4 linked regions of the Oreochromis niloticus genome follow. The protein of the gene in region 3 interacts with the protein of the main gene of each other region in a pairwise test. Links are inferred from orthologs where the notes say so. Each region holds a gene or a part of one and is shown on either strand. Other genes may lie near its edges. The genes, in order: nek6, ccdc146, necab2 and ehhadh.

What was found.
Region 1: the proteins of necab2 (region 3) and nek6 interact in binary tests that used the Homo sapiens proteins (3 or more experiments, as listed by UniProt). The link is inferred for Oreochromis niloticus from reciprocal best matches to the Homo sapiens genes NECAB2 and NEK6.
Region 2: the proteins of necab2 (region 3) and ccdc146 interact in binary tests that used the Homo sapiens proteins (3 or more experiments, as listed by UniProt). The two-hybrid records come from large-scale screens. The link is inferred for Oreochromis niloticus from reciprocal best matches to the Homo sapiens genes NECAB2 and CCDC146.
Region 4: the proteins of necab2 (region 3) and ehhadh interact in binary tests that used the Homo sapiens proteins (3 or more experiments, as listed by UniProt). The two-hybrid records come from large-scale screens. The link is inferred for Oreochromis niloticus from reciprocal best matches to the Homo sapiens genes NECAB2 and EHHADH.

Annotation. Positions count from the first base shown.
Region 1 is NC_031972.2:10,216,255-10,223,805, forward strand, and holds the start of nek6 (serine/threonine-protein kinase Nek6), read left to right. Parts: upstream 1-4,540; 5' UTR 4,541-4,759; coding exon 4,760-4,805; exon of another isoform or gene 4,806-4,869; intron 4,870-4,938; exon of another isoform or gene 4,939-5,205; intron 5,206-7,551. UniProt on the Homo sapiens protein: Protein kinase which plays an important role in mitotic cell cycle progression. Required for chromosome segregation at metaphase-anaphase transition, robust mitotic spindle formation and cytokinesis.
Region 2 is NC_031981.2:8,528,338-8,535,312, forward strand, and holds the start of ccdc146 (coiled-coil domain-containing protein 146), read left to right. Parts: upstream 1-3,971; 5' UTR 3,972-4,157; coding exon 4,158-4,158; intron 4,159-4,837; exon of another isoform or gene 4,838-4,987; intron 4,988-5,156; coding exon 5,157-5,350; intron 5,351-5,676; exon of another isoform or gene 5,677-6,975. UniProt on the Homo sapiens protein: Essential for sperm flagellum biogenesis and male fertility.
Region 3 is NC_031972.2:7,361,195-7,368,531, forward strand, and holds the start of necab2 (N-terminal EF-hand calcium-binding protein 2), read right to left. Parts: upstream 3,024-7,337; 5' UTR 2,968-3,023; coding exon 2,641-2,967; intron 1-2,640. Other genes in the region: hydrocephalus-inducing protein, read right to left, coding at 4,773-4,883, 5,068-5,289, 5,382-5,555, 5,712-5,856, 6,138-6,302, 6,457-6,488. UniProt on the Homo sapiens protein: May act as a signaling scaffold protein that senses intracellular calcium.
Region 4 is NC_031987.2:14,329,824-14,337,163, forward strand, and holds the start of ehhadh (peroxisomal bifunctional enzyme), read right to left. Parts: upstream 3,005-7,340; 5' UTR 2,863-3,004; coding exon 2,789-2,862; intron 1,525-2,788; coding exon 1,421-1,524; intron 963-1,420; coding exon 793-962; intron 425-792; coding exon 313-424; intron 1-312. Other genes in the region: tmem41aa (transmembrane protein 41A-A), read left to right, coding at 3,295-3,476, 5,115-5,265, 5,742-5,903. UniProt on the Homo sapiens protein: Peroxisomal trifunctional enzyme possessing 2-enoyl-CoA hydratase, 3-hydroxyacyl-CoA dehydrogenase, and delta 3, delta 2-enoyl-CoA isomerase activities. Catalyzes two of the four reactions of the long chain fatty acids peroxisomal beta-oxidation pathway.

The sequences.
Region 1 (7,551 bases), about 2.9 Mb from region 3:
GTCATCCATCAAAAAGATGAAGGAAGAAAACTGGTAAAGGACACTGCAAAGTGGCCTACACCAAAATTGAAGGGGCTGCAGGAATTTCTGGCAAGCACTGTACTGTACTATTAACGTTTCTCATGGTGTCTGTGCACATATGTTGAGATCTGTCCACCATACAGGGGTTTGGCACATTTGAGAAATATGTCAAAGATCTACAGTTCCTCATCATCCATATCGCCAGACACGGTCAACAAGGCAAAGCAGCGGAAATCTTTCTGTCAGATGACATCATTTATCCAATGAAATAAAGAGTTTAAATTAGCTATAGACCATGCATTATGTCTTGTTTTTTATTTTATTTTACACATCGCCCCAAAGTTTAGGGATTGCAAGAAGGGGTGGGTTTAAAAAATAGATTTTCCTATTCAAATCAGTTTTAGTTTGAATAATGCGATATCGATTCATTAAATCCTGAACTGATTTTTAAATATATTTATTTAGCCAGAAACACCAGAATCTCAGCTTAAAGCTCACAAAACTATTTCAAAAAACCACCAAAGAGTTATAACCCCAAACGATTAAATAGCAGGTAAACACACTCCACAGAAAGATGTAAACGCAAAGCGCAACCCGGCGGCACGAACACGGACACCTCATCGGGTGCTAAAAGCCGACATCTCACAGATTCTGAAGCTGCAGGTTTGTCACCCTCCAACCAAAATTCACAGAAAAAGCAGCAAATGAAGATCAAAACTACGCTTCACATTTGAAAAATATTGTCATAAATTCCCTCGGTGTACTTCCAGTTTACCACCAAAAATTTGTGTTTCTGCATTATTTGCTTGCTTATTAGGCACCAGTCTACCGTTGTGTACAGTGCTGTCGACTTTTTTTTTTAAATGACCTCCTACAAGAAAGCCTAATTTCTGCTGTTCAATACCAAATAAGTGTAAACTTTTACAAAATATGCCAAATTGCAAAACGCTGAGCTATAAAACATAAAAATAAAAAGTATATGGATATATACTGATAAATGATCATAATTATAATATGTCTGACTGTCTGACTTAAAATTGAATCGAACTGAAATCTTGAAATTGAATCGCTTATAGTAATCAGTGATGATATCCAGCCCCAACTGCAAGGATTGTTCTTAAAAAGCAGGCAAAGTAGGGCCTCCACATCACCCTACTAATATGGTGTCTCAACACAGTGCAGGAATTTTCTTACTAAATCTGTCATTATAATGATATAAATCTCATAAATACACCATATCTGTATACCAAAGCCAATCTATAGATCAGCTGTCCTTTTCTATCATGCCACTAGAGTAGCATGCAGTCATCGTCTCTGCTGCACTTCTCAGTCCTGAAAAGTAGCATCCGGTGTTGGGGGGAAAAAAACATCTAATACAGTTACCATGCTTACAGTGGCTACATATCCACTCACTGTCAGTCACCACTAACCGCGCGGAAAGCTTTGTGAGTTACTAGTACACCTCAGTGTCATTAAAAATATATAAATAAAAGGTTCTTGTTTTTTGTTTTTTTCCAGGTCCCGTCAGTGTTTTTAGCCTGTGTCACAACAAGCCAGGGCCTCATACTCTACGATATCTTCTCTGTGACTCTGTGGAACACTGCTAACACAGCAGTTTTAGCTAACGCACCGAGAAATATACTTACTTGATTCGAGACCCCATCCTGTATTTAGTCTCCCCGCCGTGGCTGGCAGCAGACAGGCAGTACGCAGACGCGTCACTCGGTATTTTTCTCAAGCTAAGCTGCCCGTCACACACAACAGTACACCGCCATGGTGACTCTCCATGCGTAAGTCACGCTCCACTTTGTGCCGCTCCTGGGATTTGTAGTCTTTTAAGTAGAAGACGTGAATGTCTATAACATACCTCTACCTAGTATTAGAAACTACAGCTTCCACAATACGTACAAGACGACTGGGTCGCGTGGTGCTGTAGCCGATAAAGTTTCTGTTACTCAGCATTTACTGTAACGGTAGCTCCAGTACAGTTAATTACATCATTTTGAGGTTTTATAGCTAATAATTAAAAACAATTTTGGAGATAATTTATAGTTTAATATAAATTAGTAATATTTTCTACCAATATTAATTTTGAAATAATCTAAAAGATAAATTATATTATTTATGTCACAAACATTTTGTTTTTAAATGTAATGTAATGTAAAAAGAAAATAAATGAAAATGACAGCTACATGGATTAACAAGAGAAAAAATTGGGGCGGATGCTCCAAAAAAACAGCAGATTTGTGTGTCCTGTGTTTTTTCTTATAGTGAAGATGTTTTTTCCAAAACACTAGAGCAAAGTAGAAAAATGATCAAACAAAAATTCCCACAAAGTTTACATCTTTGTTCTACTATTCTCTAAACTGTTCAAAATATTTAAATGAACCTTCTGAAAACACATCAGACCTCAATAGGAAAAAAAAATTACACTGGATATCTATGCTGATGTGGACTGGATAATCTGTTAGGATGCCACATTGTTTGATGGAAATGAAAATTATCAACCTACACAGGGCTAAATTCAAAGACAGTCCAAAAATCTAAGAGGAAAAAACTGATGCAACAGACTAGTCTGTTTTTGCTGAAATTTCATTGCTGCAATTCAAAGTGGTATTCAGCAGTTTATATAGCTTCCACATGTTTGTATGCATGACTGACAACATCGGGGCATCCTCCTACTATGATAACAGACAGTATCATGGGGGATGTCCTCCCAGATCTGGACCAGGCCTTCACTGCCCCACAAACTGAACCAAAATATAATGTCCAAGAGGCGTTCTATTAGAAATACCTCAGGTGAGTTTGGGGGCAGGAGGAACCCAATGCACAAGCGTTGGGTCTGACAATGGCTCCAAGGATTTCATCCCAATGCAGTCAGGGTGCCATTGCCTAACCTGTAGAGGTCTGTGCGTCCCTCCATGCATATGCCTCACCAGACCATCACTGACACACCACCAAACACATAACTTTTTCAGGCAGCATGACATTCTCCACAGCTTCTCCAGACCCTTTCACTTCTGTCACATGTGCTCTTGGTGAATCTGCTCTCATCTGTGAAAAGCAAAGGGTGCCAGTGGTTGGCCTGCCAATTCTGATATTCTATGGCAAGTGGGCTCCATGGTGCTGGACGATAAGCACAGACCCTACTAGATGGCATCGAGCACTTGTGCGTCATGAAGTCTGTTCGTGATTGTTTGGTCAGAGACATTCACACCAGTGGGCTTCTCGAGGTCATTTTATAAGACTCTGGCAGTGCTTATCCTGATCCTCTTTGCACAAAAGAACAGATACTGTCTTGCTGTTGGGTTAAGGACCTTTTATAGCCCCGTCCAGCTCTCCCAGAGTAACTGCCTGTCTCCCGGAATCTCCTCCATGCTTTTGAGACTGTGCTGGGAGACACTTGAAATCTTCTGGCAATGGCATGTATTGATGTGCCATACCGCCAAACAGTCAAAAAAGATGAGGAGGGGAAAAAATATTAGTTTAAAATCATTCTAGTTTTGAGATTTGTCTCATTGTTGCCCCACTAGTGCACTTGTTGTTAATTTTATTAACAAAGCAGCTGAATTAACGACCCCTTCTGCTACTTTACCTGACCAGATCAATATCTTAGAAGTTTAACAGAATCAATGCTATGCTCTGATAAAAAAAATAATAATCTCTTTTACTCTGCAATGGGTTAGGGTTAAGGTTAGGTATGTATATATTTTCTAAGTTTACAACCCTTTTGTTATAAATGCTGGTCAGGTTGTTTTAGTTTAATTATGTTTTGGGTGTGGTTCACACTGCAGAGACAAAAAGGTGAAGCTTGAACTAGTCTGGCTCTGTCGCTATTCTTAGTTCTGTATCAGCCTGCAAGCCTGGACCATAAGATTTGCAACAACATCTCCTTGAATTCTTTTGTTAAAGCCCTGTAATTAAAGTCTGCACTCCAATCGCATATTGATGTTTGATTGATGCTGAATCCACTGTGGTGGTGTACAGAGGCAAAAAATATATAAACCCCCAACAAACAAACAAACAAACAAACAAACAAACAACACTGACCCGAATAACCATGCCAAAATACTATTGCCAAAGCATCAAAAATACATATACAAATAAATAACACAACATAACATAAAACAGCACAAGGATAAATGTATATTAACTCAATTTGATTCAATATGCTTGATAAATAAACAATTATAAAATGTATGCACGTGTGTGTGTTCAGGTGTTCTTTTTTAAAAAATTTTGATACAAAATTTTGCTTTAGTAATTTTGTTTTACAGACCCGAACTGGTTAAAGTATGTTTTTCCTTGCTTTGTTGTTTTGTAGTTGTTTTTTTTAATTCCCCGAATGATTAACGTTTTAATAGAAATTTCATCTCCGTTTCAATCTCATCTGTCAAACGGCCACCACGTTTTTTTCTTTCGTTTCAACATGTTAATTTATACAAATCTATTTTCAGACCAGACTCTAAAAAAAAGCCCCATCCCGTATGCAGGAGACTGAGAGAAAAAGTAGGGCGCGGAGACTACTGACCCACAATTTCGCGTCCACTTTAGCAACCAGAGACTGAAAACTTTGTCGTATCGTTCTGTTATTCAGTTATCAGCGAGCTCTATTGAACAAGCTGCTGGACAGCGAGCGGGGGCGGGGGGCGATTGAGAGACACTCGGGGGCGGGGGTCTGACTCACACTGTTGGTGTGAGGAGTTGCACAACAACACGAACTAACAGAAGTTGTAAAATGTGGAAGGCCTTCACGAAGCAGGACGTTACTGACTCCTCTTCAGGTAAGACACAGTCAGTAGTAAGGAGACGGTGGCAGCTCGCAGGATTGTGCAGCAGCTCGCTTCAGTAAGTTCATGTGTGGCTGAATCATAAAACGCGTCATGGAACAGGATACAGCCTCATTTTGGAGAGCTGCACAACCTTCGTAGCAGTTAACTAGTTAGCAGCAACGTTAGCGTGCTGCTTACCCGGACAGAAACGAGACCTTATAGATTCCTGGTCTATAGTTTAAACATATTATTATATTTTTTTCTATTTCAAACAATCGTGCTGCACCAGGCCCGGAAAAGAGCACGCAGCAGAACACTTGGACTGAAATTCACATCCATTTCATTTCCATGTTTCCATTGCCACTTTAAAGTAATTATCGGCGACCTGTCACTCAAGCTAAATGAAGTAATGGTGAGTGTTATTGGGCTAATTCTCCTCTCTGCAGGCTCTTCTTTCACAACAGGAAACCACTGCAATACTCGTAACTTTTGCAGCTCCTGGTTTATCTTCCTGTAAATATAATTTTTGTACTTTTGACTTAGACCAATTTGGTTTATACATTAAGTTAATCAATTACAATTCAACGTGAGGTAATTGGGTAGGACAGAGATGTGGCACTGGGTGTATTATGTGATAGCATCTCTGTCATTATATAAAAAAAACAACCCCTCCAAACAAAACACATCCGTATAACAATGACAATAAATTTCTTGAAGAGGTTTCAGCTCTCATCCAAGAGCTTTTGCAGTTCTAAAACCAAATGTTGGAGAGTACCAGGTATTGGGGTTTGTCCTTTAAGACGTTTGTTGACCCACTGTTTATCATATGCTCATCACATGAGTCAAGGTGTGAAAAAAAGGCATGGGTCATTACAACTACAAGTTTTAGGTGAAACCACTGTGACCTGTTGAGATCACCCAATTAAGTTTATTTTTGTTGTTTTACCAACAGTAGCCAAAAGCTAATGGGCAATAGTTTCATAGAGCACTCGACATTGTTGAATATGAAGGGAAAGGTTGAGTAGTAAGACTGTCTATACAGGAAGCGACTAATAGTCATGTGGCATCCAGAGATTGCCAATGACATTGAGCAACTTCAATCAACAACGATTTTCTGCTGGCATATGAGGGCGTGGCAGCTATGTCAGATTGTTGTTCTTTTGGCTGCTCCCTTTTGGGGTCCCCACAGCAGATGCCACCGTCTTACCTTAGCATGTCTCGTCAACCCTCTGCATGTTCTTCTTCACTACATGAAGAGTTATGTTTATGTCAAAAGCTCCATGTGAGAAAAAAGATAATCAGAAGCAATGCATTTCATTTCACAGGTGCGGGTATTCCTTGACACTTGTGCAAAAAGTCAAAAACATATGTGCATACAACTTAGCAAAAATGCATTTTTGGGTTGAGTAGCATAGTTGTGCCGATGAAAATGCCAAACTCTGCCAATGCCAAACAGCTTATTCTGCTATTCACTCTTTTTCTTAATTTCTGGTAATCAGGTGTCCTGATTAGTGCATGATTAGCATGGACCATGTTACAGTGATCAGTTGGTATCTGCTCCAAGCATGTCATATTTGCATTTGGCAATACATTTATTACTTTCTAGGCTGGACTATTATAATTAGTTATTATCAGATTGTTTTTGAAAATTCCTTAAAAAATCTTCAATTGATCCAAAACGTTTGCTTTTGGTTTGTTTTCATTAGAATCATAAGTTGCGAGAGAAGGTACAAAATTGTTAAAATAACTCATCTAGTCATATTAACTTAGCAGACACAGAGATGCAGTTACTTTGAGTCACTTTTAGTGATCTGATGGTCTGAAAATACCTTTGTCTTTTTTCCAGTAAAACTAGAACAAAGGCTTGAATTATTGTAGTCACCACAGGACCCAAACCTGTTGCCCAAACCTGGCAACAGTCCTTTTGTAACTGGAGAAAACTGAGTTAATGACTCCAAATTGCAATTAAGTACAGTATCTAGGTGAATGAGTCATTAAAAAAAATTACCCTATTCAAGAGTTGTTATGATTTGGATAACTATCCATAGAAAGTAAAACTGATTCTTGTAATAAACTATAAAAATGCTCTTATATGCTGTTCAGCCTGCACAGTTGGGTATGGATGTGACATGTACACTGCTAAATTGAACGATACAGCTGTGACTCAGGGGTTGAGTCGGGTCATCCACCAATCAATCAATCCCTCACTCCTCCATTCAGCATGTTGAAGTGTCTTTGGGCAAATGATTGAACCCCAATGCCTTCATCATAATGATGTAGGAGTGTGCACGTGGCAAGTAAATTTACCCCTGACATCTTTAAACATGTCATTACTGATTCACTTACAGTACCAGTCAAATGTTTTGACACAAAACGTGCTTACATGCTTAATGTGTGTAATTAATCAGCAAGCTTTCAGTATTGCTTGTTGCAAACAGTAATACCAACATATTTAACTGTGGAGCTTGGTTAGTGAGTGATAAGAAGAAAAACACAAAAACATAAACCACTGTAGATGGTCTCATTACTAAACTGTGTCACATGCATAATTCCTTAGCTTGCTGTGTAATACAGACACACACAATTACCTTGTGTATAGTTTGGAAAAATAAAGCAAACTGATTTTTTGACATTTATTAAAAGAAAAATAAATCTTGTTCGTGCTGTATTGATTCCTTTGCTAAGACAAATAAATCCTTAGCAAAGGAATCAATACAGCACGAACAGGGTTTGTACCAGCATTGACAAATAGGGAAAA
Region 2 (6,975 bases), on a different chromosome or scaffold from region 3:
TCACCGTCTGTTCAAAACTTGTCTCCAGTCGTTGTCTACAAGGCTATTGGACAAGAAAAAGCTAACAGCACACTAAATGTACAGACAACACACATTGAGTGTGTGTGTCTGTGTTAATTAAGTTATTTAGAAACAGTTTTCCAACAAGGAAAGCGAGGGTTGTGGTGGTGAAGGGTTTTGTAAGATTACACCAAATCCCCAAGTTGCATTTGTTGTGACTACAGTACTGCAATAAAACAGAGGTCTGGAGTCTGCATGTTGCATAAAAGTCACTTTTTCCTATGGCCTGATTTGTACGTGGGCTCTGGAGCAAACAAACACAGATGGGACATGCATGCACATTGTGCGACACCCACGGTAACATTGGTTTTTCACCTGTTTTACAAAACCGCAAGAGAGGAGAAGCAAATACCCCTGGTACCCCGACTGTGCTCGGATTTGCTGTCAGCATAGATTTTGTTTGAGTATTTCACATCTTATTCAGGTGGATGTTTATTTTCCTTCACACAAGACTAGCATCGATATCCATAATCCGATCTTGATCACTTGCACATAGTGTGTAATCCTTGTTTCTGCCTTGTTAAGTCCCCCATGTTGCCTGACACAACATGCATCATCAACATCTGTTGTAGATTGTCGAACTTTACAGGAGTTACTTTGAACTGTGGTGAAAAAAAAATCTAACTCATAAATCCCCAGCCAGCAATTATGGTTAGGTTGATGAGAAGACATGGTGGAACAGACTTTTATAACATGTGTAGTCAGCATATTTTGACACTTGAAAAGTTAGTTACATCAGCAAAATATGAACAAAGTCAAAGGAGCCCCCCCACCCCCAATGTAAAGCACTGACTAGCTCAACAGCTAAAGAAATGTCAGCTTTATGCACAAATATCCATCATTCCCACAATACACGGCAATCCTGATTTATTCATCCCAGAACAGATTATTTTTGGGTCATGTTTTATTTACCCAAATATGGTGTACTTAGGGACATTTTTTTTTTTAAATACCAAAATAAACTAAACCCTTCCAGGACTGGAGAGATAACATATCCAGACTGTTGGAGGCTTTTCAAGGTTAATTTGGAAATGTGGCTGTGTCAAACATGAGGGGGTGGTTATTAAGTTATTGACATGTTTGCTTAGCAAGTAAGCTAAAAAGAGAATTTTGTTCTCTAAGGGGCTGCAGGTGGTATTATCCTTCATCTCTCCAGCTTTTCACTTATATGGGCTATGCTGTTGTCACTGATCCTTTCCCCTGTTTTGTTACATCTGTAGCAGAAAAAAATGTCACAAATTGGAAAGATCTCATTTTAGCTGATGACTCTGAAGACAAAAAAACCCTTGAATAACCAACTTTTTATCAGTTGATGGGACATGATGTTGAAATGAGTAACAGGCAAATTTGCTGCTGTATTGATGGCAGTGAAAAGTCTAGTACATATCTGAATGTAAGTATTACTGCATAATTGAAGGGGCAGCTTCTGTTTGTGTGCATTCACTAACTAACACTTACAGGCTGCTTCATGAGTTATGCCTGTTCAACTGCGTCTTATATCTAATCAGCTCTGTCACATGGCAGCAACTCAGTGTGTTTGAATATGCTCAAGACGACCTGCTGAATTTCAAACTGAGCATCAGAATTGGGAAGAAAGCTGATTTAACTGACTTTAAATGTGGAATGGCTGTCGGTGCCAGATGCTGGTTTGAGAATTTCAAAAACTGCTTATCTACTGTCAATTGCTTGCACAGTCACCTCTAGGGTTTGCAGAGACTCATCTAGAAAAAAGGAAATATCCAGTGAGCAGCAGTTCTCTGGCTGAAAATGCCATTTGACTGCCAGAGATCAGGGGAGCTTGCCCAGACTACTTTGAGCTTGATAGGATGGCAACAGATAAGTACTCATTATAACTAAGGCATGCAGAAGAGCTTCTTTGAACACACTGCAACAGAAGACCACACTGCGTGGCATTCCTGTTAGCTAAGGACACGAAACTGAGGCTGCAATTCACACAGCATCGTCTATTGTTGCTGACCATTTCCATCACTTTATGATACACTGTACTCACCTTCTGATGGCTGCTTCCAGCAGGATAACACACCATGTCACAAAGCTCAGTGTTGTGTATCAGTTTTATGGTGTATTTTTTCCACTCTGGCTCCTGAAGCTGTCTTCCTCTTCTTACCTGCAGTCCATTGGCAGCAATCAGCCAGGCTGTACTTTGGGACCAGCTCAGTCCTCAACATTCTGGCAGATTGTTAGCTGATGGTGTCATCTTTGGCCTTGGATCAGCAGTCACACTCTTCAATCATTCTCCTGGTTTTCTCTGACACTGGTCTTCCTTGCCTACTGGCTACCTGTCAAGCACTCACCTGCTGGCTTTTGCTGCTCACTCCTCCTCGGCTGTCGGGAGCAAAAAGAAAAGGTAAGATACCTCACCTGCCTGCCCTTCTGCTCACTGCTACGCCCCATCACTCTGAGAAAGAAAAGGAAAGGTCAGACATCTTGTTTCACTCATTCAGTCACACTCTCTGACACTCACCTGGAAAACCACATCACCGTCAGGAAACTTGGCTCTCTGCGACCCCAAGTAAACAACCATTCATCACTCATCTTTGTAAATATTCTCACCTCAATCCTGTGTGCAGAAATGATTCATCACTGCCTCTGCAATAGTGGATCGCGCTCCTGTGAAGCCTCTCACTGCCCTGTTTTAACTCCAATGATCCCTGTGTTCAATAAAGTGTTGTGAATAAGAAAGAAACAGTCTACTGAATCTGCGTTTGGGTTCTCTTTTGAATTGCTGCTGTCTGTCTGACACTCAGATCATTTTTAAACTGGGGCCTTGAACATGACAATAAGTTCGCTGTACTCAAATGGTCTCCACAGTCACCAGACCTCAATCGAATAGAGCACCTTTGAGATTTGAGATTAGCATTATGAATGTACAGCCCACAAATCTACAGCATGTACATAATGCTATCATGTGAATATGGACCAAAATCTCTAAAGGAATGTTTCCTGCATTGAATCTGAAAGCAAAATGATGTCCAACCCTACTAGCAACATTTACCTAATAAGGTATATATGTGTGTTGTCAGGGCTTTGCATCTCCACTGGGTGTACACATGGCATTGTGAATGCACATGACTGCATTACTATTCCAAATTTATGACTTTTCTAGACAAAAAAAGAACTCACACTTAGAAGATGAATTGGTTTTTGTTTGTTTGTGGTGTGTGTGTGTAGCCAATGGACATGTTGGACATGCCAAGTAAGTGTAAAATAAAATTCAACAAATAACAAATGTTTGAGGATTGCCAAGCCCCTAAAGAAATGAAGTCCAAGAAGGTTTCTCTTTCCTGGTGCCAGTAAACTCACAACTTTTGTAGTAATATCACATCCTTTCCTAATGGAACATCTTTAACGGATCACATACCAGCATGCACACGCACATACATATACTGCTGAGACAACACATCTCAGCAGCTGTTGCCGGGAATAAGTTACGGGTCATGCCACCTCCCACAGTACAATGTGGGGAAAAAATTTTCAACACCACAGGAGAACAATGGCTTTGAATCACTGCCATCTTTCACCCTGGATATCATTTTAAGGTTTTCAACACTCACCAGTTCAGGGTGTTCAGCCAGCTGGCCACTGATGTTGTTCCATGGAGCCAATTTCATTACACACGGCGATTACGCGCTAGAGATAAAAAGGCTTAATTAACCTGTAATTTAACGCCATCTGCTGGACATGCGCTGCAAGTGTAAAATGAGTTGTTGTTTTTTTTAATTCTCGGATTGAATGAGGTCCGTTGGGATTTTTGTGTATTAATAAAACAGGAGAAAACGGTAGATAAGTAGAAAAAATAACCATAGCTTGCGCATTACTTTTCAGTAGAGGTGAAATTCGAGGCTTTCTCCTTATATTAAAGTGGACGTATAGCGTCGTTGTTATGGTAACCACAACACACCACGAAAGTGAAAAGTCGGTGATTGGGTTTTGCTGAGATTGGCTGTGAAATTATTTAAATATATATATTTTAAAAAGGCCTGTGAAGACTCCAGAGATATAAGAGTAAGGAATGTGTTTCCTAGTTTATCTAACAAACACCAAAAAACCGGACACAGCAAGTAAACTGGCTAATAAGTAAGTTTCTGCATGCTTTAATTGAACAACACACTCGTTGCTGTATTGTTATGTCGTATACACCTTTTTGTATCACATTAGCCCATTTTTTCTATTTTTATGGCCTTCTCGTGTGCTTTAACAGAATTTAGAAGCAGAAACTAAGCTGGAGTCGCTTAGCACCAGTTATAGCCGATAAGCTGTCATAATTTGGTCTTTTTGCGTTTTTCGAGAAAGTACGCTTTCTGTGTGACGTTTAGAGGTCAAATAATATACATCATCTTAAAATGTTTTGAATATGTTTAAGGACAGTGCTCACAAATTACTTTGTGGGATCTACGTTTAAAAAAATATTTATTGATTTTGATTTCCGGCGGAAGCGTAATCCTTCAGAATAAAAGCAGGCTTTTGCATGGCTAATTCGGTGTATTCCGCACATACAATACTTCTATTCATCCCTCCATCCTCTTCCGCTGATCCTTCTGAGCGTCCCAGTGGGGCTGGAGCCAATGCCAGCTATCATAGGGCAAGAGGCGGGGTACACCCTGGACAGGCCGCCAGTGTGTCGCAGGACTAACACACAGATATAGACAACCATTCACACCTATGGGCAATTTAGAATTACCAATTAACCTAACCCCATTAATTGCATGTGTTTGAACTGTGGAAGGAAGTCGGAGTACCCGGAGAGAACTCAAGCAAACACGGGGTGAAAACATATAAAAACCACACAGAAAGGCCCCAGCCAGATAGTGGAGTCAAACTCAGGACCTGTTTGCTGTGAGACAACAGTGCTAGCCATTGCACCGCTGTGCTGCCCACCTTTAGTCATATTATGTTTTATTTATTGGTAAGCAAGCATAGGGAAGGGCATTAAATGTTGAAACTGTGTGCCAGGACTTTGGTGTAACAAACATTTAGATATTTTCGGATTCCTGTCCCACGCAGCTTGTGGGATACTAATGTTTGTTTAGTGTGTTTCTGTCCTAAATATTATTATGTTTTGATCCAATCATTAGTGAATCCATCCGAGGAGGAGACAGAATGCAGGCCTCAGAGTGCAGAAGTTGAAGTGGAAGAGCAAGATGAGGATAAGGGAATGGAGGAGGACGCCCCTCTAGTGGCCGTTGCACCCGATGCGTCACTCCCAGAAAAGCAGCCCTCAACCTCCAGTGAAGTCTCTGCTAGTCCTGCCTCCCAGTGTTTAGATGAGGTAACAGTCATGTGCATTGTTGTGTTGTTATTATTTTGTGAATGGCATTTTTAAATTGTTTTCAGAAAGATAAACATCCCTATTTGATAGTTATAGTGAGAGATTTAACTCCCATAACTCAGAAGAAAAGAAAATAGTATCAGATATGATATAGATGCATGTATTTGCACAAGGCTAATGTTCAGGACTATTATTTCCTCCATTCTTTTGCAGTTTAATTGCTGATATCAAAGTATTGCACATACATAATGTGCGATAAAGTGTTTGTCATAAACATTAAGTGTAAAAAAAAAAAAAGTGAATATTTAGGACTTGAAGTCATCCTGTGAATGAGCACAACACTTTTATTAACTTTATCATCACAGACAGTAAACAGACAGTAAAGTCACAGTCCCACAGTTTTATCATCTTCTGTGAAGCCGATATGAAATCTGCCTTTTATTTAGTGGCTTTATTGGTTCAACACCTCGTAAACCCATTTGTTATGGGCATGCAGCACCTCATCCTGCATTTTTACAAGCCTCATTCAGCCTCGGACACTAGACGGCAGACACTTTCAAAGACACTCATGCGAAACTTGTATACAGTTTTTGTATACATTCATTTGAAAGGCGATTCCAGTACACAAGTGGAGCAGGCATGAAAAGGATTTTAAACCGATGGAACATTGAAATCTGCAACACAGCCATGGAATATTAATTTTATTTTTTTCCCCAATATAAAAATTGCATATCTTTTGGCACAAGAGCTGAATATGAATGATAGAAAAGATCAATCTGATACACACAAAGAATTTCAATTTTACGCAGATATTTACTATGAATGATCACAATTATGCCCAGTCCTTCTCATTACTCAAATGTCATCAATCATTAAACTCTGTACTGCATGACCATTGTATCATATAAAAGCTATCATACCTCTCAAAGTAAAATAAATACTGTACACATCCTCATAATGAAGCATTTCTTTCCCCAATCCTTCCCATTTACAGTGTGTATAAAATGAAATAAATGGTGCTATACAGTTTCCTAGCATTAGATAGCAGTATTGTACAAGAGGAGGATTTTACAGGTTATGGCAAAGAGAAGTGTGCAGTAATTCGGTGCATCCAAAGGTTGGAAACACATTTTTTTTCCTCACTGCAATGTCCTGCTTTGTGGCTGCTCTCAAGAAGAATCTAGTAAAACATCAATAATGCAGAATGCACACACATACATGACTAGAAATTTATTGGATGCTGCGTATTTATACTGGGATGTCTTCTGTGGTATGGGATAATGATAAATCAGCAAGCTGACCCAGAGCAGTGAGATAAATGCCAGAGAAGGGCCAAGTAAAGCTATACATTTATTACTGGCTGTAATTTTTCTAACAGTTTGACTCTCCAGCTTGAGGTCTTTCGTAATGATTATCGGACCCACTCAAAACTGTATCATCAGCTCTCGTATACCTCACTTGGGTGGCTGCTGTTAATTACAAAATCATTTACAGCAGAGAAAGTGATAGCTCATTAGTTTTTACTACTAGTATGTGCTGCGCTGTGTTTCTACGCTGGGTTTATGGCAGGAGGCAGCAGGACAGAAAGAGAAAAAAAAATGTCTAAGACCAGTGAAAAAATCTCT
Region 3 (7,337 bases):
AAATCAGGGATGGAAGCTCTCACTGATATCATATGGACCCGGGAGTAGAAGAAACTGAGTTTTCAGGGAGATCTGAAGCCTGGCTTTTGGATTACAGTGATTAGTTGCCCATAATCTGACCTCATGATTTGAAATTTTGGCCATGTTTAATCTTAATTTACACCACAGATTATGTGGATGGCATTTGAATGTGTGAAGTAGACATATTTATTTTAACCACATTTGAGAACAGAACTGCAGAAATATTTATAAATGGTCTTCTGCAATAACCTTTGCAACTGCCAGGAAAGTTCTAGACTTACTTCATACTTTCCTCAATAACGCTTTGTGTAAATGTCAAAAGAAAAATTTCACTGTTTAAATCGGAATGTATTAAAATGGATGAGCAACCATTTTGATTTCTTCATGGTCTGGCTATTTTTTGAAGCAAAAAATGACAGCCGTTCTGTTTCCTGGTGCCATAATGTGAGGATTTTAGGCTTTTCCTTATCATATTTAGCATATTTGCTTACATTAGTTAGAAATATACAAATGCTAATCAATCCATTAAATGATTTGTAGACATAACAGAACAAATAATGAATTTACAGTTAGTTGCAGCCTTAATTTCAAAGTAATCTAAATAGTGTGGTCAATAATCATGAATGCAATTTGAAAACTTGAGGAAAGGTCGCACTTTTTAGTGCACAAACTGATATATAGATTCTTGCACTTATGAGCAGGAGGCATGTTAAACTCTAAATAAGTGGTGCATTCACACAGCAACTGCAGCCATCTCAACAGGCCAAAGAGAAAATCATTAACTGCTGAGACGAGTGGCGTTCCAAATGACAAGCTGCTCTGCATTGTTCTGCTTTCCGGCTGCACCCTGGGGTGCACTCAACTCAACAGAAAAGAGCCAACTCTGGAGCTACTGGAAACAAACAAGCCTGGAGAGGAGGCAAAGTGTTGCGATGAAGAGGCGGTGTGTGCGTGCGCGTGTGTGTGTGTGTGTTTTTGTAAAGAATCGTAACAGAAACACAGAGTGAGAAGAAAACGAGCGACAGCAGAGGAGAGAAGATCCGGCAAAATAGAAAAAGAAGACAGAGGCAGAGGAGAGTGTTGCATCCATCTCTAACCTTATTAAGAATGTATGTTTCTGGGCAGGGGGGAGGGCAAAAAGGATATGGAGGAAATTAGGTGAGGAGAGAAGGGAAGGAAAAGGAAGAGACAAAGGATGAAAGGAATTTAATGAATAGCGAGAAAGGTACAGTGGGGTTATGATGCAGGCGAAGACTTGAACAGTAAAGGAAAAACAAGCAGGCTGAGGATCTAATGAGGGAAGCGCTGCCCGCGGGCACATGCGCACGTGCAGAGCAATCACTCAAACCTCTTTGGTCTCGACTTGTTCACCACAATAATAACGCTGGAGTCAATAATATTGGAAAATGAAGAAACGATTAACATTTCAAAGTTGAAGACGTTGCAGAGGGCTCAAGAGAAAATACCAGAATGAGTTCACAGCTGATATCAGGAAGTCAGCCACTCTGAGAGAGTATGGCAGATTTCTAACAGGGAGTGAGAGGGTGAAAAAACACCACAAAAAATGAAGCAATCCAGGACCTTTAATCAGAAAATGAAAATATGAACACATACATGCATATACAATGACAACGAACCTCTCCTCAAATATAGATATGAGTGCAGCACAGTTTTTTTGTTTGCTTGTTCACTTACAAACACTTTTACTGTAACATCTGTCTTAGCGGACAGTTGCTTGGCTCAACGACGCAGCAAACTAGGCTACACCCCTTACAACATCCTTTACACACAAACACAGACAGAATGAGTTTACTAGGGTACTAGGATACATTGGTGCAGTGGTTTTGATCATAATTAGTTTTCCATGGACCCCCTTCTTTACCACCCTATCAGATTATTTAGGTCTGGGTCAGATTTTGCAGAAGCTGAACTACTTTCTCTTTTGTTTTTTACCCTAATAAAGCAGCATCAGCAGATCTCCTGGGGAAACATTTAGAGCGGCCAAGATGAAAAGTAACCCAATAGTATTGATGAGTTGACCCAAATCAGCACTGCGCTAAGTGCCACTTTTAATGCAGGAAGGCTGCTCCGTTATCAGCTGTCTGATAACAGAAAGACATTACATCGGGAGTGAGAATACTAAGCAGTGGCTGTAAGGAATGGATCAATAACAATATGGTAGTAAGACCTTCTCATGAATAATTAAATAGCAGTCATAAAATTGGTGTGAGCGTAGCTACTGCACGTTGGACTGACAGTAAAGCCAGGAGTAAAAGTAAAGCTGCCTCTCGACTATAAATGCGTGACTTTTATTGGTGATGAAGAAGTGAACAAAGACGCATAAGAGAATATTGCTTAATAAGATGCAATAAAAGTACAGTGAATCTTTTGGATGGGTCATTCAGAAAAGATATGGAAACTGAGCTCAGCGCGTTGAGGCTGCTCCCGGGCTTCCACATTCATCACCAAAGTGTCAAATCTTCCGCCTACTCTACCAAGCCACGAGTATCTGCGCGTAAGTGCGCACTGCACCGGTCCGTACGCGCTGTTCACTGGATGTCTTCATCCCGAGCACCCACCCGCCCTGCACCTGCCAACCCGGTGCATTTCTATACTCACATCCAAAATAACGGAGATGCCTCTCCGCGGTTCCGGAGCGAAGAACTGCTCCTGAGCCACGGCCACCTCCTCCTTACTGGAGGCGTACTCCCGGCTGGAGATGTTCTTGTTGTCGCTCATTTTGGTGACGATCCAGCGGACGAGCCCGTCGATTCCACCGGGCTGGGCGCCGCTGTTTCCGGACTGCGCTGCCGTTGCGGACTCGCTGTCCTGACCGGCTACGGGTTTCGGCTGCTCGCGGCTTTCTTGGGCTCGAAGTTTGGCTTGTTCTTTGTTCAGCAGTTTGTGGACTCCGTCCCTACAGTAGCGCGCTGCCTGCTCACACATCCTTTTGCTGCGGAGCGCTCATGCTGCGCTCTATGGGGGAGAGAGAACCCCCACCCCCACCCCAGCTCCCCTCTTACATCACAGCACCCACCCCAAATCACACCCACCCACCCTACAGAGCCCTATCTACCCATACGTGCTTGTAGGCAGATATTTAACAGCTTTGGAGATTTAAGTGAGTTTATTGCACTTTTTATTTCAGTGTTGTTATCAACGCTTTCATATTTCTAAGTGCTAAAATGTCTCGCCTTCAGTGCTAATACTTTTCTTACTACAGTGTAAAAACACATGACTATTTTTTCATGGTGTTGTAAAATAGCAAAGTTGCAGATCACTTTGAACTATCCGAATCTGACTGGAGACCGTGGCACAGTTTATTCCTTCCACAGTGACAACAGGAGGTGTGGGCCAGCAGTCATGTGTGGCAATGGGTGGATCAGAGGATTTTCCACATGGAGTAAAAAGGAGTCATTAGAGGATCAGTGTTATGTGAGAGCTCTAACCTTTGGTAATGAGCGACTCCCCCAGCTTTGCCCTTTCCGCTGTACTGTTGTCTTCCCCGTAATGTACCATGTGTTTAACAGCACGCAGAGCATTCTGGATGAATTCAGTCACGATGCAAAGTTAACAAACAGGTTATCGCGATTACCACAAGGAAGTAAAGTCAGGCGTGTTATACATCTTGCCCCATCGCTGGAACATAAGAAAGGGTCAATCACTTGACACGATTGCCCCCATGTGGTAAAACATGTGCAGTGACGTGCCTGGGCAAGTCTTATATGCAGGATGTATTGAGTTCATTATTAAATATTTACCAACAGATTCGTGACAGCCACTTATTTAAATCACACAAATACACAACACATTCTGGCTTGAACATTTTGGCAATTAAATGGCTAACAGGCTACAGAAAAATAACAAAACATGCAACTGAAACATACGAACATCCAGCAATGAAGGCCTAATTTCTTAAGTGCATTCATGTTTACATCTATAGTCAATCTCTCTGTGTCTGCACATGTCTCTAAGATAACTGAAGACCCTTCAGATAATAGACGCGTGAGTATGGCCTCCTGTGGCCTTCGGAGTGCCGACTGGAGATGATCTAGCTGCCTAACCATGGTCCTGGAGAGCCGTCTGAAGGAACCTCAAATGACACCAGGATTTTCGGGGTCTCTTTGGATTGAATGTTGCCCCCTCCATTGACAGTAAAATGGGAGTTGTCAACCTAGACATGAGCAGGGTTCAAGTTACGTCAAATCTGAATAAGAGACATGTTTAAATGAAACATAAATTGAATAGAAACATTTTATAGATGCTGAAGATGTGAAAGCTGCGTTTAATACAAGCAGGAGTACAATTTGTCTAAACATAAGCCAGGTTGCACCACTCTGCACACTGCAATCTGTTCCAGGCTAAATTTAAATCATCTTGCTCCGTGTTGGCTGGCAATGAACCCAGTGCAAATATTTAAAGGAAATGAGCCTTAGTAAAGCATCCCTATTTTTAATAAGAGTATTGGCTGCCTGCAGGGTGTTTGTTTTAGAATGTTGTAATCATTGTCAGCTATGTTGATAAGACATTTTTAACTTTCACTCTTTGTTCTGATTGTCTTATAGTGCCGACTTTTGTAAATTCTACTTGCTCTTTACCAGAAGAGAGAAAGTGGTGGTCTGCAGGAACACATTCTTGAAGAGGATAATGACGTTCCCACCGGCTTTGATGCTGAACGGGCCTTGAGGTTTGAGTAGGGGAAAGATGTATTCACCACCAATTACTGAAGACAGGCTTAGCTGGCCTCTTATTTACCCCAGCTGATAAGGCTTGAAACGGACCTCCATGCTGGCCTTTGAGCCCGAAGGGAAACCTGGTAATGTGCTGACATTCTTGTCTACAATAAAGGCCGGACGGTCAGTCTGGAGGACAGAGATAACACAAGGTGTTTGCAAGTAAATCAACTTTTTGTGTTGACGAATTATAGAGAGCAGATGAGAAGGAAGCCTCGGTGATGAATGCTGACACTGACCACATGTAAAGTACTGTTGCTAGAATAAATGTACAAAAAGGAAAGAAAGGGCTATTTGTTTTGCCACTTTTTACCTTGCAGCAGTACTCGGTTTTGAAGCGTGAGTAGTTGTTAAACATTACAGTGACAGAGTGGCTGCTGCCCAGCAAAGTATTGTCCACAGATTTCTCTGGTGGTGGGGGCAGAGCTCTGAGAAGCAGATCGTAGTGGAAGTGGCCCAGCTCATTGCTGAACAAAGTTAGACGGGCAGTAGACTCGCCTGGATGAAGAGGCATGTAATGAACAGTCAAAAAAACCTGTAAAGAAAAGACACACACATATGCCAGCAAGAGTCTGTCTGTGGCCACACAGTTTTTTTAATGTGATGGCAGATGTACTCATTATCTACCTTGGACTGTCCTGGCACACTGTGCTGAGGTTGGACGATGATGCCAAGACATTTACACTCCTTAGTGAGGCAGGCTGTCTGGGTCAGAGGGTTCTCTACTTGAATAGTGGCCGAGGCCACCTGACGAACAGGTGTCCCCAGCTTGATGGTGGACAGGACTCCTGGAGATGTTGCCTTTGAAGATAACGAGGTAGAACAAATACTCGCCTGTCTCATCATTAATGAATGTCACCCAAGGATAAAGATAAAAGGATGATGTGAGAACAAGGCTAAAAAAAAAAATAGTCATCCAAGTCTGGATGTGTATGCTTGAGTAAACCGTGGTGTTACCCTCTGTGTATGTAAAAAACAAAACAAAACAAAACACTCGTAGTCCCTCTTAGCATGGGCAGGGACATCAATAAACTTGATTTCCTTGAGGGACACTGTAGCATCTGGCTTGTCAGGCTTCACTGTCTCTAGACACACAAGGAACCTGACAACACAGATGAGTACACTCATTGCTCTGTTATACATCTGTTGCATAATTTGCCAGGAACTATAGATTTCCATATTAGCACAAAAAAAGCTTTGCTTAACTGGGATCATTTCCTACACTTTACTTCTTACTTTCTAGTAGAAAATTTCAAAATGTAAAATTTTGTGTCATCTCAGTTTAGACAACACAGTTGAAACTAGTTGGTGATTTAGCTGCTAAGGAGAGACATATCACTTAAGAGCAGCTCAAGTGTATATAGTTCCCGACTAAGTGTTTACCTTTGTTGCCTAGAGAGCCAGTTGTGCACAGGGAGCAACAGTGTGTGGAGAGTTTTAGCAGGTAGCTCATGCACAAGAGTGTCCCCTGCCACAGGAGGATCAGCAGCTCCCTGCAAGGTGTACAGCACACCTGTCCCATCGGGAAAGGCAAAAAAAGGCAGATCCCTGAGGCAAGAGAAAGGATAAACAGAGATTAATTAAATTGTTATAGTTACATAGATAGTTTTATTATCTGTAACCTTTTCAATATTAAAAAGTATTAAATATACCCAGTTTTTCAAATAAATAATAGATTGTATTTAGATGGTGGCTCTTCTACCTGGTGTTTTTTCCAGGAGCAGTCACGGTCATAGATCGGGAGGTTATTGGGAATGCAGTTCTGGCGCGGCTTGAAGGTCACAAAGAGTGGAGAACTCCAATGCTTGCCCTCAATGACAGGTTTGATGGTGCAACACTGGATTGTGGGGCTGAGGACAGACAGGGTCTGTGTGTGGGAGCCACGAACTGGACACACAGAGCTCACCACCTGGACACAGAGACAGGGTGACAACAATTACTTGATCAATGTTACAAAGGTTATACTTTCAAGGTCATTATATCATCTTGCTACATTGGATGTTGTCAGCAAGAGAAATCTGATCAAGCATAGGGTTTTATCCCAAACACAGAAATGAATCTTTGCATTTATGATAAAATTAAATTATCTGTAACTCATTCTCAAGATAACATAACATGAGAAATTTCCTAAAGCATTTTCTCAGAAGTACTCAGCTAATTGAAACTGACTAATAGTTTTTACAAATCCTTAAATCTGTCAGCAGCTGCTGCCTGTTCCAAATGAGCCAAATCAATGTCTTTCATTACCTGATGCTGGCCTCTAACCATTCCTACAATGAGTCAAGGAGTCACAGTGCTGACAAGGCACCTTTTAGATTTTATTCCCTCTGGAAAAGCCTCAAAATCAATACCCAGATAACTAATCTTTTAGCTTTGTTGACTGTAAAAAGCTTAAAATCATCATCAACTCAAAACAGCATATATGTTATTGTTTTTCTCATATTACTCAACACTGTCCTTTTCCCTTTGGCACAATTACAGTGCAGAATGGTGAAGAAAACAGAGTCAAACCTCTTTGCTAGTGTAGGCCATGATGCAGGAGCCAGTGACAGTGAGGGTGACAGGCGAAGAAGAACCCTCCAC
Region 4 (7,340 bases), on a different chromosome or scaffold from region 3:
TGCTGTCTTGAGACCTTAAGAGAGCTCTGCATCCTCGAATGCCAGCAAACCTCAATGAACTGAAGCAATGTTGTAAACACATGATGTGAGAGGCTGATAAAGTCAAACTATTGCCTCTATAGGTGGTTCTACATCCTACTGAATAGTTTTTCATTAGTTTTTAGCAGGACTGCTTACAGTGACATGTCTGGGTGCTTTCTTATCAAACGTTTTAGGACGTACTCTTCTTCAGAAACCAAAAGTTGCTGGCAGTTGCCATGTTTAGGAAACTTTATTCATCAAAGTCAGACAGTGTTAACTTCTTTCTGCTACCTGTGGTGATGAGGTCCAAGGCAGCCGGGACACCGATGAGCCTCGGCAAACGTTGGCTTCCCCCTGCACCAGGCAGCAGCCCCAGAGTCACCTCTGGAAGTCCCACTCTGGCCTGAAAAGACATAAAGGTACAAAATTTGATAAACGGGACGTACTGAACTGTGGAGGTTTAGACATTAGCGAAAACTGTTTCTGGGAATATTCTTTGAATATGATGTGTGTTATTCTGCATGGCTTCTGTGAGTGACATAAATATCAATTCTCAGCAAATGTATTCTGGACAGATAAGATTTTTTTTTACCTTTTTCAAGTCTGACACAGACAAACTGACTCTTTTTCTAGTCATTTGCACAATTTAAAAAAACATTATTATGCAAAAGCTTCACAACATGCAAGATACTGACAGACATCGATGCGTTTCATCGCTGACATTAAAGAGACACTGGCCGACAGGGACAGAGATCTGAAGCATGAACTAACTTTAGAGTGTGCAATCCGATAATGACAGCCAAGTGCCAACTCAAGGCCTCCACCTAAAGCGATCCCCTCTATAGCTGCCACCACGGGCTTGGAAGCAGCCTCGATGGCGTGGATCATCGGTATCAGGGGAGGCCCAGACATCTGTCCCCCAAACTCCTTGATGTCTGCTCCTGTTGCACAAATTCAAATTGACAAAATGATCAGGAACTTGGAGAAAGAAAGGTCATGAGAGATGGATATGCGGATCAGCAATTCATTATTTTGTGTGGGTCTTTTCTACTTTTCTCAACCTTGTCTGACAGATATATTTGGGTTTTAGTTGAGAAAAAACATTTTTCTCTATTTTTGATATTTTACAGAATGAAACACAGCAGTTTACTTCTGGTTTTGCACCTGCAAATGCCATGACAGGATCTGTATTGTTTACTGCATTACGAGTATGCAACAAATCACCTTTTAATGATGTAATATTAACATTAAATTAATAAAAAAATGTATAATAAAACTACTGAAAATGTAGTTGTAATGAAAATTGTGCTAAGTGGAAGAAGATGGGCAGACAGAGACACTTACATTATAAATAATATCATGGTACATGATTAAAAAAAACAAACAAACATGTCCATACCCCCAGAGAATATCCCATTCTGGCCACAGATGACCACAGACTTCACTTCTGGCTCACTGAGTGCTCTCTGCATCGAGTCGACAATACCTTGCCTCACCGCTGCACTGCATGAGAAAAAAGTCACAACTTTATTTGGCCTTTTTTTCACACTTTGTGAAATTTTAAACTTGACAGTAAATTGTTCTGCTGTGGCCCTTCTTCACAAATTTAAAACAAAAGCATGTAACAAAGACAGGCGGAGCAATATAAACTTTGATAATTAACATCTATGTACTTTCTTTTTTGATAATTTTAGCTTACGAAGCTACTAAAATGCATCATACAGTCTATTAACTCTTAAGGTACACATCAGTTAGAATAAAAAAAACAAGATGAGAAAATGTCTCTGTAAAACAGGGCAATGATAGCATAACTAGAGAGTAAATAGATTCAATTATTGCTACAGCTTAAATGACTTCAAGTAAACTTGTGAGGTCCAGTAAAGGTTCCAGGGTCCAGTAGATCATACTGTGGTTGGGTGTGTTTTTAGTGTGCTGTTAATTAATCACAGTTCTCTGTTGTAATGTATTAAGCCTCAAGCTGTTACTAAAGCAGCGGTGGTAATAAATCACCCTGAAGTAAATGCCGTGAATGAGATCAACTGATCACTAAAATGTACTTACAGGTATCAAAACCTACTGACTCTATATGCAGAAGAATGGCAGCTGCCAGTTTAGGAATAATCTGCATGATGACACCGCTGTACAGCAGTCTAAAAAAAGGACAAACTACAAAACGTTTGTGTCTATTTGTAAACAGGCTGTAGACACCAGGGTTTATGAAGCGGGTGTATATAAAATAAACAAAGGATCTGTTTTGCAAGTAGCGACGCTGCGCACTACATGATAAGCAATCCGCTTCTTTATGGCAACTTAAAATATCTTTATACAACTATTACGGTATTTGTTTTAATTTTCTAATCCCCTCTTGGCCAGATTTATTTAAAAAAACATTTTTAAGTATGATAAGTCTTTTTACTGGATAAATAAATGACATACAAAAGTCACTTCAACTTTGGCACAGAAAGACTTGATATCACTCATGTTTGACAGATTATGGTTCAACCCATTTACAACAGCAATCAGAGGATCACTCTCTCTGACGCCACCCTCTGGTAAAACACCTGAGTTACTATCTTCTGGTGCACAAAGCTTTCTTTCGTGATAATACTACTTGTTCCTGTGCAAGCTGCAAATTGCTGTTGCAGCTACAGCTCTACTGTATATAAAATCAATCAGGCACATGTTATTTCGCATTACGAGACACGCTAAAAGAAAGCAAATTGCAGTATAAGAAGTTGTGCAGACCAATTTCATTAAATCGGCTCACCTGAGTGCATTAACGGGAGGACTTTGGAGAGTAATCAAGCCCACGGAGCCCGAAACGCGAGTGTACTGAGCCATGGTGTCGAAGGAATACTTGGAGATGTCGCACTTCTCTTTTTGCTGTGCAGACTGAACTTTGAAACTTGACTTTAATCCAGTTAGCAACGCTTCATCACCTTTGTCACACTTCTTCCCCCTCCGTGTAAACAAACGCTCTTCTTCTACGGCAAACACTCGCGCTATCGCCCCCTACCGGAAGCAGAGTTTTTGAATAATTATTTTTTTCCCCGCCTTTTATATTATTGATATGTACTTAAATCAGATTAATAAATTATAAGATACACTTGTAGGTACTTGTGAGTTAGTAATTTGAATATTTTAACTGTTCTATTGACATGGGGATGTGACGTCACTGCGGCGGTTGGTTGCCGGCCGCTTCTTGCCGTTGTCATTCTCGCTGACAGCAACCGGGAGGTGAAGCTTTTTTCCGGCTATCAAACTCAGGGGAACATGCGCTCCCTCGTAGGACTAATTACGGTTGTCGCCGCAGCCAGCTTGTATCTATATTCCCTGTCCTTGTACCTCCCCGCGGGACCAAGAAAGCGTTCTGTCCGGAGCGCCGAGGCTGGACATGTGTCCGAGGAGCAACAGCAGCAGCCCGGCGACTCCTTAGAGGAAGAAGAGCCCAGCAGGTGACTGGTATATTTAGCCGCTGGCTGGTAACCCATTGTTTTGGGCTATGTTATAGGCTGTGCATAATTTAGCTTTATTTAAATTGGACCCCGCTGGGTCACTAGTAAGCTAATGTTAGCATGCAGCTCATAAAAAGACAGGCAGCAGTATTTGCTGGCTTTTAACCTCCTCTTCAAAAAGCAGTGACTCTAAAAACTGTCTAACTGAAGCCTCTTTTGGAAAAGCTAAAGTTAAAATAGCAAGTCCAGTTTTTGCTTCAGCTTTAACACGTGTCAAGGTTGTCATTGGGTCATAATTGACAAGTGTTGTGTTGTTGTTTACTGTAGAAGTTTAATTTGGGTTTAATACAGTAGATTAACAGTGTCCAGCTCTTCCTGCATTATATGGCGTTTATCTGGGCCCAACTTTTTTTTTTTTTATTTCACTGCACTGAAGTGTAGTTTTGGTAATGCATGAAAAAGAACAAATTCAAAGCTGTGTCATCCCAAACCAAGTCACGATTTTTTCCCCCATATAAAAGGTGCACCAAGCCAGGACAGTCTTCGCCTAAATTACATGCAAAGCAGTCAAGTTTTCAAGTGACGTCCCATGTTTGAGTGAGGAAAACCCCTTATGGTATTTGTGTCATTCAGATACGTCATAGAAAGAGGTGTAATTGGATCCACGTATCATTCATTAGCCTAAGTATTACTTACACTCTTTAGGTACACTTTTTGACTGCTTGTTAACACAAATATCTAATCAGCCAACGGTGTGAGTGGCAGTTCTCTGTGCTGTGAGAACATGGCTTGTTCTCACAGCATATCAAACCCTGAAGCAGATGGGCTACAACGGCAGAAGATTACATAGGAACAGGAAACAGATGCTGGAATTCAAACGGGTTCATTAAAATTGGACAACAGCAGATTTTTCGGCACCCTTTGGGTACCTCGGTATCAGCTGACCATTGTTTAAACACCACAGCTTACCTGAGTGTCATTGTTGACCATGTCCTTTCCTTTATAGCAACAGTGCATCCATTGTCTTCTTCCAGCAGAATAACGCACTGTGTCAGATAAACTAAATCTGGTTTCTTCAACATGAAAATGAGGTCATTGTACTCAAATGGCCTCCACAGTCACCAGATCTCAATCTAATAGAGCACCTTTGGGATGTGGTGGGATGGATATTTGCATCCATGGATGTGCAGCTGACAAAATCTGCAGCAACAGTGTGATGCTAACTGTATGAGTCTGTCCCACAAAGAATGAACCTTTCAAAGAAACTCACTTCATTCTTTGTACTATCATGGCAAAATCAATGAGTGGCTGGTTATCTTGGATTGAAGTGAGATTTGTCAATAGTAAAACAGATGGTAGTTAGAAAAAAATGCAGTTTTATTTAAATAGCTTAGTTTTTTAAGTGACGTAAAAAGACTGTTTTGGTATCAGTTTTAGCAGATAAGTATAGGTATCAAACCATGTTTGTAGTCCCCGCAGAAGCCACATGGGTTACTCTTTCAGCTATTTAAATCTAAAAGTAACTTTAAGTTAAAACATTTTTGATCACAATGATATTTTTTCTGTGCTGCCGGTCTTTCTGTGAACATGAAGCTGGCCTGACAGAAATGACTAACTTAAATGTGAATGTTCTCACAGGTTAAAATTCCCTTCAGACTTGGAGGAGCTGCGGGAACTCGCTGAACTCTTGCAGTTCTACAAGACAGAGCACACTGGATATGTCCTGCTCCTCTTCTGCAGTGCTTATCTCTACAAGCAGTCCTTTGCTATTCCTGGATCCTCATTCCTGGTAAGGTAATGTCCTGTGTACAGATCCAGGATGATAAGGAAAGCATTGTGATGAGCACAAAACTGGTAGATTTCTTATGCTGGCTGTCTTAAAACACATGTAAAATCCTTGTAATGAAGCATTTTGTATGTTTAATTACATTACGAGAACACATGGGCTAAAATATGCCAAAAGTGTCACATCTTGTAGGTGTGAAAAGATTACATTTGCATGCAAGATGAAGGAAAATTCGAAAGGCACTTGGACAGCATGCGGCATGCAGCTTGTGTCTCTTGTTTAAATAAATGCGGAGGATAAAAGAATATTCAGATAATGCAAATGACAATCTGAGTGGGCAGAACTGCCAAAATACTGGCTTCACACCAGTGTTAGACCACAAAGTATTTCTCTCCTTTCGCATGTAGAGACGCCACAGAGCTGTGTGTCAGATGATGCCTATTAACGCGGGCTTTTGGTCTCCATTTGTCATTGTGTAGAACATTCTTGCGGGAGCTATATTTGGACCCTATCAAGGACTGCTGCTTGCCTGTGTGCTCACAACTGTGGGCTCTACGATGTGCTTCCTCCTCTCCCAAGTCTTTGGAAAACACTACATTGTGAACCTCTTCCCAGATAAAGTCTCCACGTTACAGAGAAAGGTACGACCGGGCTGTCACACAAACAAAACACACTGAAGGAAACAAATATAGAAAGCTTTTGAAATACCGGTGGTTGTTCTCTCAGAGAACAACTGTTAATTTGGCCGTGTGTGCTGTAAATAAACAGTAAAGAGGGCTATGCTTTATCTTATTTACAAAAATCAAAGGTTTTACCTGTCAAGCTATTATTACCAACAACACTTCCTACAAGGAGACATTGGCCATATCATATTATCACTTTAGAAATCCAGTATACTCATTTCTACACATAGAATCTGATAAATCAGTGACTTCTTGCCCTTGAAACGGAAGAAATGGTTGACAGATGTAATTTTAGACTCTGCTGTCAAACGTGTAGAAGCGACATTGTTGTGTTCCCTCATGAAGCCCAGGAGAAAGTTTGACACAGAGCCAGCCATAACCTAAAATTTCAGAGATAACGGCTACCACAATGTCAGCTTTCTTTGTTAGGTAGGCCTTTCTGCTTCAGGCTGTATGTGTGCTTATGTGAAAGGGGGTGTTTGCTACATCACTCTTCTTGCTCATAAAATAGATTGAGTCCCACCTACTCCAGTCATAGACACCTGTAGAGGAGCAGGTGATAGAGATCTGTAAAGAATATGAAATATGTAACCACTAAAGGCAATACTGCTGGCCCAAAAAAATAAAAAATAAAAAGCCAACAGAGCAACACTGGCAGGAAGTCATTAATCTTGTGAATTCGTGAGTTTACGTGTTGTTGTTTTTTTTGTTTGTTCGTTTCTTTCTGACAGCTGCACATTAGACTCTGAAACCTTAAACTCGATCCACTTAAACAGCTCTGTCTCCATCTCACCATCTGATGACCGAGACGTGGAAATCACTTTAGTTTGTTGCCAAATGAAAATGTAATTAATTAGCTATTAAATATTTTGGCTGATGAATATCCTACAAATAAATCCTAAAAATAGGTTAAAAGATCAGCTGGTCTATGTTTAACCTGCGGCTTAAACAGTGTGAAACAGACTTGGCAGCGCCTTAGGATGAAGCATAAAAGCATTCTGCGTAAGAGTGCAAAGAACTCTGATTTTCAGCTCAACATACACTATATTGCCAAAAGTATTCACTCATCCATCCAGATGATTGAATTCAAGCCAATAGAACTCCTCTGGGATGAATGAGCGCGGAGACAGGCCTTCCTGTCCAACACAGTGTCCGACCTTACAAATGTGCTTCTGGAACAATGGTCAAAAATTCCCGTAAGCGGACTCCTTAACTGTTATATCCTTTTCAGACAAGATCGGGTGTGCTCAGGGTTGTATGGCTGTAAGCTAAGGTGCTAAGGGTGGGCCGACATCATATTAAGCGCTATGGATTAAGAATGGGATGTCACTCAAGTTCACGTGTGTGAAGCCAAACGAGCGAATACATTTGGCATTATGTCATTAAGCTATTAAT